Linked DNA regions of Macaca fascicularis. The protein of the gene in region 1 purifies or fractionates together with the protein of each later gene. This does not show direct contact. Links are inferred from orthologs where the notes say so. Each region holds a gene or a part of one and is shown on either strand. Other genes may lie near its edges. The genes, in order: TCEAL1, KDM3A and USP11.

Evidence for each region.
Region 2: the proteins of TCEAL1 (region 1) and KDM3A purify together in Homo sapiens (affinity purification with mass spectrometry; 3 studies listed by BioGRID and IntAct, counting the BioPlex papers as one, with this or other methods). This does not show direct contact. The link is inferred for Macaca fascicularis from reciprocal best matches to the Homo sapiens genes TCEAL1 and KDM3A.
Region 3: the proteins of TCEAL1 (region 1) and USP11 purify together in Homo sapiens (affinity purification with mass spectrometry; 4 studies listed by BioGRID, counting the BioPlex papers as one, with this or other methods). This does not show direct contact. The link is inferred for Macaca fascicularis from reciprocal best matches to the Homo sapiens genes TCEAL1 and USP11.

The regions. Positions count from the first base shown.
Region 1 is NC_088395.1:110,002,412-110,006,339, forward strand, and holds TCEAL1 (transcription elongation factor A protein-like 1), read left to right. Parts: upstream 1-1,321; 5' UTR 1,322-1,381; exon of another isoform or gene 1,382-1,652; intron 1,653-1,826; exon of another isoform or gene 1,827-1,848; 5' UTR 1,849-2,156; intron 2,157-2,237; 5' UTR 2,238-2,269; coding exon 2,270-2,749; 3' UTR 2,750-3,301; downstream 3,302-3,928.
Region 2 is NC_088387.1:35,095,225-35,098,871, reverse strand, and holds part of KDM3A (lysine-specific demethylase 3A), read left to right. Parts: intron 1-955; coding exon 956-1,075; intron 1,076-1,157; coding exon 1,158-1,297; intron 1,298-2,515; coding exon 2,516-2,692; intron 2,693-2,769; coding exon 2,770-2,904; intron 2,905-3,647. UniProt on the Homo sapiens protein: Histone demethylase that specifically demethylates 'Lys-9' of histone H3, thereby playing a central role in histone code.
Region 3 is NC_088395.1:47,338,964-47,343,266, forward strand, and holds the start of USP11 (ubiquitin carboxyl-terminal hydrolase 11), read left to right. Parts: upstream 1-1,465; 5' UTR 1,466-1,485; coding exon 1,486-1,661; intron 1,662-4,303.

The DNA.
Region 1 (3,928 bases):
AAACTAATATTTGTCTAACTGCCATCTCAACACAAAATTAATTAGATGTTGGAGAAAAGCAACAGTTCTTAAAAGGGGAAATTTCACATGAATTTCTGTTCAGAAACTTACTAAACAGCCTGGCTTTAAAACAAAATCTCAGGATCCTCACAGATCAGATGGCCATCTACCCTGGAAGTGTAAAACACAGAGGGAAGGGAAGTAGTATGCTCTGTGGAGGAAAGAGCATCTGCATAAGAAAGTAGCATCCAGGCTGATGTGAGTAGGTGAGAGGCAGGCATAAGGTTAAAGATCATAAAATACCATTAGATAAAAAAAATACATAATGCAGTGACAATTGACAATGCTAGCATGATTGTAGTCCTGCTACTCAGTATGTGGTCAACAGAATTATTGCATAGTTTAATACGGAATGCCCTCCCTGCTGCATCTACCTTTTGGGGTCCAGCAGTCCCAGAACTCAAATATTTGTCAATTTAGTGAATTAATATAAACTTCCTCAACCAGAAGCACCAAGAGGTGGCTGGTTAAGGATTGAGAGTCCCAGTAAAATCTATTTATTCTATTATAAATAACTACTGATCTATATATATATATGTGCACATGTAAATATAAGTTATTTAATATATAATATATTCAGTGTGTATACATGCATATATATGTGTGTATACACACACGGACAAATGCGTATTTGATTTACAAAAATTAAAGTATTCATTCTTTTTAGATCTACAAACTTTACAAACTTAACTCTTTCTAGAGGTCTAGAACTGAATGATTACCAATTTAGGTCTGGGGGCTCAAAAAAACAAAATGTGATGTCAAGAAAAAGTGAAAGATTGTCTCCCATGAAAGTGACAAGAGATGAAAACATGCTGAAAGAGCCTAAATGGACATGATGGAGATATGGATGTGGATTAAAACTGAGAGTGTTGGGATATAAGGATATAATACTGATTTATGAAGGTGAATAGTCAAATGTCAGTGCAGAATCTGAACTGCAGGGGAAATAAGGGGCCTTGGTGGCTAAGAAGTGAGGAGGAGAGAAAGAGGTGGTACCAGGGGAAGTAGCACAGAGGAAGAGGCAATACTACCCGAGACTAGATGCGGACCGTCTCTGGCAACCAGGAAAAGGCAAATACAAAGAGAGGTGAGTGACAATGCCTGGTGTGTCTGGGGTCAGGGAACACTAGCAGGCACTAGCAGGTGGCTGCGGCAAGGCCGCGGGTCAAAGTGGTAACTGGGGATCTGAGTTCGGCAGTGACGCGCGTCCCTCACGTGACCAGGAGCCTATGTCTGCCCAAGTCCCTCTCGTCCCGGTCTTTTTTTGCCTGTCCACCATCTCCCTATTACCTTTGGTCGAGAGGGAAAGCAGAAGGAAGTAAGTTCCCTCTACCCTCTTAAATCGGTGTGAGTGTCGGCGCTGCCTAGTAACCCGGGGAATGGGGTTGACAGAATCGGGATGGCGGAGTCCAGGCCTTTCCCTACGCTCCAGCCCCGCCTCCCGCGCCCATATTTCTGTGCAAAATATGGTGGTCTTGGGGGCGGGGTGGGAAGGCGAGTGCTTCCCCCGTCCCTCGGGAGGGAGGTACAGACACTTGGAAATAGTTTCTAAGAATGCTTCGCTTCCACTTCCCATCTGAAAAGAAATGGCAAGCTTTGCGGGGTGGGGAGGTGCGGGCACGGAGGACGAAGCTTTAAGCAGGGTCTGAGACTAGAGGAGAACCCGAGGGGTGGGGGGCGTGCAGGCAGTGGCTGGTGCCCAGAAAGTGGGGGATGGGGGGTGTCAGTCAGTCCGTCCCTCCTCCCCACTCCCCGCCCCCTACCCTGTCTTGCGTCTGTGTGCAGGTCTGCTGGTCACAGCGGGGCACCTCGAGGAGAGGACGACTAGAAGCACACGGCCCGGAAAGGTCCAGGTCAGGGAAGGGGTACGCAGTGGACCGGGACTGGGGCGCGAGGGTGGACGCCGAAAGGCATGGAGTCTGCAGGCCGCACTGTCCCGCCAGTCACTGCGGGCGAGGCCTGTAGCAAAGCCTGCTGGGAAAATGGTGGGCTTTCGGGAAGGAGGGGGCGACTGGGAAGCGGCGGAGTCGGGAGAGCCGGAGAGCCTCTGGGAAAGCGCAAGGTTGAGGGCCTGGGCCCCGAATCAGGAAAAGGCAGGTATTGGAACCCACGGTTTGGGTGTTAGTCCAGTCACTTAGTATTCTGACTCTATTCTGCCTTTCTTGTCTCCTAAGAATAACTGTGCTTGAAGAAGAAAATTCCCAGCATGGACAAACCACGCAAAGAAAATGAAGAAGAGCCGCAGAGCGCGCCCAAGACCGATGAGGAGAGGCCTCCGGTGGAGCACTCTCCCGAAAAGCAGTCCCTCGAGGAGCAGTCTTCGGAGGAGCAGTCCTCGGAGGAGGAGTTCTTTCCTGAGGAGCTCCTGCCTGAGCTCCTGCCTGAGATGCTTCTCTCGGAGGAGCGCCCTCCGCAGGAGGGCCTTTCCAGGAAGGACCTGTTTGAGGGGCGCCCTCCCATGGAGCAGCCTCCTTGTGGAGTAGGAAAACATAAGCTTGAAGAAGGAAGCTTTAAAGAAAGGTTGGCTCGTTCTCGCCCGCAATTTAGAGGGGACATACATGGCAGAAATTTAAGCAATGAGGAGATGATACAGGCAGCAGATGAGCTAGAAGAGATGAAAAGAGTAAGAAACAAACTGATGATAATGCATTGGAAGGCAAAACGGAGCCGTCCTTATCCTATTTAATGTGTTCGCCCTTTAATTCTGTTTTGCCTGCTAATAGTATTGCCATTGCCACCTGGACTTTCTGTGCGTTTTCTTAATGCCTTTTCCCATATTCTGAATTTTAACTTTTTGTGAGGATTTATTTTAGATGTTTAGCTTGTAACTCGCTTAAAGTTGGGGTTTCCCCCTAAAATTTACAAGTTTCCCTCTTTCAATCATAAGTTATATACATTTGCATGAAAGATGTACATTATATATTGTGAAACGAAAAAAGCAATTTTCAAATGGTATATATTGTATCCCATTTTTGTAAAAAATGTATATTTATATATTAATATGCAAAGAAAAAACAAAGTATATACTTCAAAGGTATAACAGTGGTTGTGTGGTAAGATAATAGGTGATTTTTAAAAATTTTGCTTTATCTGAATTTCTCATTTTTTCAAGACAAACATTTTACTTGTGTTGCAAAAATATATAATGAAAAAATCACCCAATTTTGAAAAAAACTGTCAATCAGCTTATAAAGACAATGTGGCACTTAATAAATACTTGTCAGAACTTAAAAAAAAAGTGAATCCTATGTTTTTTTCTGAATCTCTTAGGCACAAATATAAGCCAGATATTGATTATATTTAATAGTCATTTTGTTCTCATTTAAATAGGAATAATACTTGCTTTACAGTGCTGCTGTGGGACCGGATGAGAAAAAGATTGTGTGAGCTGTGTTTGGGGTCTTTATTCCACCTGCACAGGCAGGACCCCAACCCCTATAGATTCCCTGCAGACATAGGCAGGGTACCCAAAGGAGATCTCACTTGTGCTCACAAACAATTCCGGTGAGATTCCAAGTGAGTGCCACATTCTATTCATGTCCTGCTGTACTCTCAGATTCTTACAGTATCTGCTAGGCACTGCTGCTCCTTCTCCTGGGTCCTGATCCTTCCACTGGCTCTCATCCCTGCTGACATGCTGGAGTGCTTAAGGTACAAAGCCTCACTGATTGCTCTGGAGTCCCTGTTGGGCCCAAGCTGAATTGTATCTCCTGCAGATATATGAATGCCCTTTTTCCAGCTTTGATATTGCACTTAGCTAGGAGGCTACCATCCCAATGCTGCTTAGACCTCAATGTCTTTAAAAAATGCTTAGTAAAATAGTTCTTCCTTTTTTTTTTTTTTTTTTTTTTTTTCCATTTAGAAC
Region 2 (3,647 bases), on another chromosome or scaffold:
CATTGTCTCCTCTCCTTAAATTTTTTCATCATCCTCTCATCTATACTATGATTTCATTCTAATACCAAATGCTTTACCTATTCCTAGGGCTGATATTTCAGCAAGCTGGAAAGAAAAAGTACAACAGGGTTCTGGGGCTCTGGTCCCAAGTTGGAATGAAGAAATGTGCCCTCTCAAAAGTATAGCCCCTCTAAAACCACAGCCCCAGGCAAGCCAGAGATAAAGTCTTCCTCCAAAACAGTATTGCGGGGCGTTTGCAGAGGCCAGCAGGTTAGAAAACAGCTGCTGCTTGCTCACTACAAGCTGTGCTTCTCTCTACTGCCCAGCCTAAGAAGCAGAGTCCTAGTGTTAGAATGGCTTGCCCAAGGTGACTGCAGGGTAAGCTTCAGGATGATTGCTGAGCAAGGTGAGCCTTCTCCTGTGAGCAAGGAATTAGCCACAGACTATGAACACTGGAGGGACTTGTCATTCCGCATCACTCCTCACCCCTCCTCTTTTACAGTTGAGAGAACCAAGGAATGCGTTGGGCAGTGTTCCTTCTTATACTTGTGATAGCCATTTGAGGTTCCAGGTTTATGTGTGTGTGTGGGTGGGGGCTTTCCCTTGGACTCCCCATCTTGAGTGGTCCTTGGGCTTTGCCTCTTGTCCCAGAGCTCCTAGGCTGTGGCAATAATCAGAGCCTGAGCTCACTTGATTTAGCAGATGTCCTTTTGGCAAATCCCACCTTCAGAAGCCTGCTTTACCACTTCCATTTCCTCCTGTTTTTGGCTTCTGAGTATTCCTTCTTTTCTTGCTAGCACATTGATTGGTTAAAGATTTTTTTTTGCAATAGTTTGATCCAGAATTTTTATTCTCAGCAGAAGAGTCAATCAGGGACCTACCATCCCCCAGGTAGTGGAAAGACTATGGCAGCCTTTGTTGTCTTCCGTAAACTTAAGGCACTTTGTTTTTGCAGGATTAATCACTCCTGAAGATCGGAAATATGGAACAACAAATCTTCACTTAGATGTATCTGATGCAGCTAATGTCATGGTCTATGTGGGAATTCCCAAAGGACAGTGTGAGCAAGAAGAAGGTAGGGTGCTGAGCATAAAAGGAGGGCTTACTCTTTGAGCCAGGGCCTGTGGTCTGATATTTGCTTTCTCTTCTTGCTCTAGAAGTCCTTAAGACCATCCAAGATGGAGATTCTGACGAACTCACAATAAAGCGATTTATTGAAGGAAAAGAGAAGCCAGGAGCACTGTGGCACATATATGCTGCGAAGGACACGGAGAAGATAAGGGAATTTCTTAAAAAGGTGTGCTTTTTATGGCATGTGTGAACAGAGGAATAGAGAATACCAATATTACGTTACATGTGGTGAACTGACTGGCTTGGCTAGGGGAACTGTCACGACCTGAAAAGTTAAATCTGTACCTGTCAGATTGAATAGGCTGAAGGTGGTTGCTAAGGAACAAGGATTCTAAATGATTAGGGTTACACTTCTTAAAAAAAGCAGGCCTTGTCTTTTATGGCTGTGTTTTGTGTTAGAGTGCATTTAGAAATTTTTGTTCTCTGCTTTCAAGTTAGTTCATCTGATCATCTCCCAGCATCTATTTGTTTTTACTGCCTTAAGAATCTGAGCACTTCAGAGGTGCATGTATCCTTGGCCCTGAGTGACCATGTTCTTGAGTGAGTTACTAAGTTTGGTTTTGTCCACTCTCATGTAGCAAGTGACCCTACTTGTCATTAGCAAGGGATGCAGGGATTCAGAAGATTCTAGGTTTCCCCTGTCGTTGGCCGGTTTTTTCAGCAAGGGCTATGTGTGGAAATTCTAGGCAACTAGAAAGATGAGACATGTTCAGTTTTAAACTTGTTTGGCACTGAGGCTGCCAGTTGCAACCCAGGTGTCTTTGGCTGATATGCTTCAGTCATTCACGAGTCTTGGATATGAACATTCCTAACCTGTTAGCTGGCCCCAAGTATGTCTTTAACAAGCATTTGTTTGAATCAAGGTGTTTCTGGCTAAGGATCATTTGGCTCTTGCAGAAAACTGGCTTGGTCACCATATTGTTCCTTTGATATTGTCACTCTGAGTCTCTGCTTTACCAGTTACTGGATCAAGGATAAACAAGTCTAATCTGCAGCTGTCTTCGGGACTGTTTCATAAGTCAGATTAAGTGAAGACAAGTTTCTGATAACTTTAAAACAAGTTCATTTATAAGGAGCCTGAGCCTACTTATGTTTAAAAGTCTAGACTAAAATATTGTTTAAATACAGTATTTACAAACTTACACAGAGCCTGCCAGTCATGGTTTATGGGAACTGACATCAGAGAAGCCACATTTTCCTCGTCCTTCTTCTGTTGGTTCATTCAGCTGAAGTCTTCCAGTACTACTTGTCTTTTTCTGCCAATGGGGGCACTTAAGTTGAAGAAGGCCTGACATTTATGAACTGCCAACACTGTTTAGAGGAAAAAAATGGCTTATTGGGCCTTAGCATGTTACTGTTGCATAACATTTTGGGTGTATTCTAGGTGTCAGAAGAGCAAGGTCAAGAAAACCCAGCAGACCACGATCCTATTCATGATCAAAGCTGGTATTTAGACCGATCATTAAGAAAGCGTCTTCATCAAGAGTATGGAGTTCAAGGCTGGGCTATTGTGCAGTTTCTTGGGGATGTGGTGTTTATCCCGGCAGGAGCTCCACATCAGGCAAGAATCATTACTTTTTCTTTATTCTCTTTATAGTGTGAACTTTTGGGTTACTGATATCACTTGCTGTTTTTCAGGTTCATAACTTGTATAGCTGCATCAAAGTGGCTGAAGATTTTGTTTCTCCAGAGCATGTTAAACACTGCTTCTGGCTTACTCAGGAATTCCGCTATCTGTCACAGACTCACACCAATCATGAAGATAAATTACAGGTAAAAATAGCACCAATTCCTAGCATTCTCTGGCTATGGCTTCATGGCCCATTCTTGACCTTATAAAGAGAGTCAGTGGACTTGGCCATATCATACTTAGTAGCACAGTGAGTTGATGAACTTACTTTATATCTAGTACCACTATCTGCTTAAGTGAGGGAGGAACAAGAGGAAATCTCACCTTGGTTTGATTTGATATTGTTTAGAATCTGTAAGGAACTGTCCCCACAGAGAAAGGCCTTAGTACTGAAAATGAATAGATTTGTCTTCTGATCTTGGCCCAGCTGCCTGTCAGGGGTCATGAATACAGTTCTTAACCTTCAGTGCTGCAGTGTTCTCATCACCCTTAGGTAGAGCAGAACTGAGTCTCTCAGACTGAAAGAGGTCTGAAGGGGTGGTTTTTTCAAAAGGATTTCAGTAATGAATTATGTAACATAATTTCATGTTTGGAAAATTAGGGAAAAATAATAAAGCTGTACCTTGGAATTGCCTCTCCCTGTACTCACTGTGAGTAGGTCTACGTGGCATCAAAACCTTTAAAAGGGGGAAAATGAGCTTTTTAAGTTCTTGAAATCATGGGTTTAAAATGTATATGAAATACTGGTCTGAAGGAGCCCAGGGACCTTGACAGTCTTGACATTTCATACGAATATTGAATTTTAAATTCTGCGAGAAGGTAATAAAATTGGAGAAGTTTATTCTTAGTGACAGGTTTCAGATTTAAATGTAAAATGACCATATTT
Region 3 (4,303 bases), about 63 Mb from region 1:
GGTATAATGGGGAGAATCAATTCAGAGAATCTGACAAGATTCAACTGGGCTTAAAGAGCAGCTATCTGCCATGTGTCTGACTCAACTCAAATGCCACTTTCTTTGGGGACCCTTAAGTGAAAGGGCTGCTCCCTTACCTCACCCAGCGCTTACAAAACTGACCCCTCATCTATGCCAGGTCTGGGCTGGGGGCTGGAATCAGAGTAATAAAGACACAATCCCTGCCCCGCAGAGGTTAACTGAAAATAGGTAAATTACGAGATTGTGAGGGGGAAGGGAGGTTCGAAATTAAAGTCATCACCAACAGGGCTGGCAGCCCTGGCAGAGAAAAGAATAGCATAGCCTAGTGCAGTGGTCCTCAATCAGAGACATTTTTCCCCCAAAGGACATTTGGTAATGTCTGGAAACACTTGGTTGTCCTGAGGGGTACTACTTGGTATCTAGTAGGTAGAGGCCAGGGATGCTGCTACACATCCTGCAATGCCCACAACAAAGAAATGACAGTGCTGAGGTTGAGAGACCCTGGCCTAGTGCAAGACTTCTCAAACTCTGGGCCTCGGGATTCCTTTATGTTCTTAAAAGTTTAAGACATTCAAAAGAGTTCTTGTTTATGTCATATAGCCTCTGGATTCAGAAGCCTCTAGATAATTACACTGTACACCCCTGAGAGAATGAGAGTGAAAAAGTATTGTGAAAATAGTTTTCATTTTGTGAACCCCCAAGAGGAGTTTTGGACCGGTAGACAGGCTGGGACCACACGGTTGGAGAATGTTTGACCTGGTGTTTAAGGTCACAGCTCTGGAACGAGATTTCTCAAGTTTAAACTGCAGCTCCATCACTTATTAGCTGAGGGACATTTCTGGTACTCAGCGTCCAGTTGTTACCCATGGGTGATAAGGACAGTACCTGCTGCCTGAGGCTACTATTTTAGTCCAACAAAGCACTTAAACTGGGCGGACAGCTAGTTTAGTTATGATTGCTATGACTCCAACAAACATAGGGCCTGGGGCTAACTTGCCTTCAACACCTTGTCTAGTGAATAAATCTAGTTCAGGAAGAGAAACAATGACCCGCAGGCCTAGGTGGGTCTCTGGAGGTGGAAACCTCTTTTGCATTGGGTTTTGATGGTTAAGGGTAGTACAATGAAGGGCATTCTGATCAGGCTAACAAACGCTGCTCCCAGGGTAGGAGTCCTCGCCCACCTCGGGAACCTCAGCCTCCACTTTCCATGCCACCTGTGCCCTAACTCTACAGGGCGTTGGAACCCCACAAGGCACTTTTGTCTTTCTTGGTTCCCACTGAAGATTTTACCCCACCTAACCCTTCGACGCGTCTGTGCGCGGGGCCATTTCCAATATGGCAGTAGCCCCGCGACTGTTTGGGGGGCTCTGCTTCCGTTTCCGGGACCAGAATCCGGAAGTGGCTGTTGAGGGGCGTCTTCCAATCTCGCACAGCTGCGTTGGCTGTAGAGGAGAACGGACAGCGATGGCGACGGTCGCAGCAAATCCAGCTGCTGCTGCGGCGGCTGTGGCGGCGGCGGTGGCGGTGGCTGAGGATAGAGAGCCACAGCGCGAGGAGCTGCCAGGCCTAGACAGCCAGTGGCGCCAGATAGAAAACGGCGAGAGTGGGCGAGAACGTCCACTGCGGGCCGGCGAAAGCTGGTGAGGCTGGGCTGCGGTGAAGCCTCGGCAGAGGGGACAGTGGGGGCATTGACAACCGCTGGAGATTCGGCGGCCGAGGGCGGCGGGAAAGCTGCTGCGGGGTGCGGGGGCGGGGGAGTGGCCGACGGGACAGCGGGCTAAAGGGGCGGGGAAGTGTCTTTGAATGAATCGCAACGTCTGGAAAAGGGGCGGGGCCTGTGTGGTGCAGTCTGACGCCTGAGAACAAAATGGGGTTTGTTGTGATGAGACCGGTTTCAGCCCTGGAGGTGGGGCCGGGCCTGCGTAGTGAAACTGCGTAGGAACCTGGGAGGAAGGTGGGTTCTGCGATGTAAGGCGGGGGCGCGGCCTGCGCTGCGTAATGCAACTTTTGGGGGCGGGGAGCGGTCTCCGATTGCTCTGGCGTGGCTGGGAACGAGGCGAGCTTTGTGACGTCAGCAGAAGAGCGGGATGGAGCCGAACGGTCCGAGGGAGGGAGCGGGGACCTGCGTGGGGGAGGAGCTTGGAGCCTGGGAACGAGGTTAGGTTGGTGACGTGAGCCGAGGGGCGTGTTCTGAGGCCGAGGGACGACAGTGGAGGGGAGGTGGTTCCTATAAGGCAGAAAATGGCGCCTGCGAATAAGCAAAGTTTATAATGCGCAGAGGTTTTTTATTCTGGCAGAAGCCTTCCTGAGTCGAGAGAACGTGCAAGTGATTAGCACGGGAGGGGCCTTCCATGTTCAATTGATTTTCTGTCTTGGTACTGTTTTGGTTTTAGAATCAAGAAAAAGTCGTTTTTTTTAAAAACCGATAATTTTGATAAATCGGCTTGTTTTACTGATTTCTTGCTAAACAGTGCTTCTTGAGATTTACTGCTTCTGGGTTCATTTTATTTCTGGCCGAGTTGCATCTGGTTTTTTAATTGTGAAATACGTAAGACCTAAGAAGATTGTATAAAACATTTACGCAGCCCAGATTGACGGACATCCTTTTAAAATAAACGGCTACACTCTTCAAAAATGTCAGGGTCGTGAAAGACAAAGGCTGAAGAACTGTTCTAAATTGAAGGAATTAATGCGATTTAACGAGTCATGATAACTAAATGCAACATGTGATCCTCGATTGGATCCTGGAACAGAAAAAAAAAATTATTTTAAAAATCAATTTTTTATCATAAGATTATTTTTGTCTCTTTTACTGTAAAAGGCAATGGAAACATCGGTGAAATTTTATTAAAGTGGGTAGATATTAGTACTACTAATTTCTTAATTGTGATCATTGTGGCATGAAAAAGAATACCCTTGTTTATAGGAAATGCTGAAAAATTTAGGGATAAGAACTCATTGTGTAAGCAGTTTATTCTCAAATGCCTGAAAAATTAGCATATATAAATTTATATGTGGTGAGGGGAAAGGGGAAATTAGGGAGATGTTGGTCAAAGGATACAACATTTCAGTTAGACAAGAAGAATAAGTTCAGATCTATTGTACAACTATAGTTAATAAATTCATTGTATACTTGAAAATTGCTGAGAGATTTTACATGTTCTACCACCCCCCAGAAAATTGATAAGTATGTGACGTAATGGATGTGTTAATTGCCTTGACTTAGTCATTCCACAATGTATACATAAGTCAGAACTTCATGCTGTACACCATAAATATATACCATTTTTGTCCATTTTTAAATAAATAAAAATACCAAAAAAGAATGCATGTAAAGAAACAACGATTGAGCAAATGGGTAAAATATTAGATTTGGAGGATCTGGATGTGGGATATGTGGGAATTCTCTGTATTATTTTTGCCATTTTTCTCAATCTATTTCAAAGTTTAAAAATTAAATAATAATTAAATAAAAACGTGTGAATTCACCATCCAGGTTAAGATTCAGAACACTGTCTTGAGAAATCCTTCTTTGCCCCTCCCAGATGGAAATTCCCCTCCTTGCTCCATGGGAAACTGTTATCCTGAATTTTGAGTTAACAGTCTCTTCCTTTTCTTTAATGTTTGACCACAACTGTATGCATCCCTAAGTAGTATGTAATGTCTAAGCTTTCACTTTATACATATATGGAATATATATATAAAATTCTACTGGATGCATACTGTGAGCCCTTCTCTTCCTATCAGGTGATACATGGTATCCACATGACATCATTGGTGATGTTAACCTTGATCACTTGGTTATGGTAGTGTTGGCCAGGTTTCTCAACTGTAAAAGTACCGTTTTCCTCTTTACGTACGCAATAATTGTTTTTAAAACATGTATCATGTCCAACCATTCCTCAAAATACCCCTAACAGCTTCCCATCTCTTGCAACGTAGATGCTAAAATCCTTACAGTGAATCGTAAGACTTTATGAAGCTGGTCTCCAGCTTGCATTCTGATGTCTTCCCAGATCTCTCCTCTGATTACGCACTCCCTCTCTGTCTCCATCCAGGCCGGCCATATTGGACTCTTGCTGTTCCTCAAACACATCTAACCTTAGGGCTTTTTCGAGTGAGGTTTACTCACTACAGAGTTCTTTAATAACCACACCAGTGAAATGCGTATCTCTGTTACTGGGGAGATGAGTTGAGATTTTCCAGATCGGGAATACAAACCCAAGCCGTGTTTTTCTGCCATTACGTCATACCTTTCCTACAAGAAAAAGCCTCATTTCAT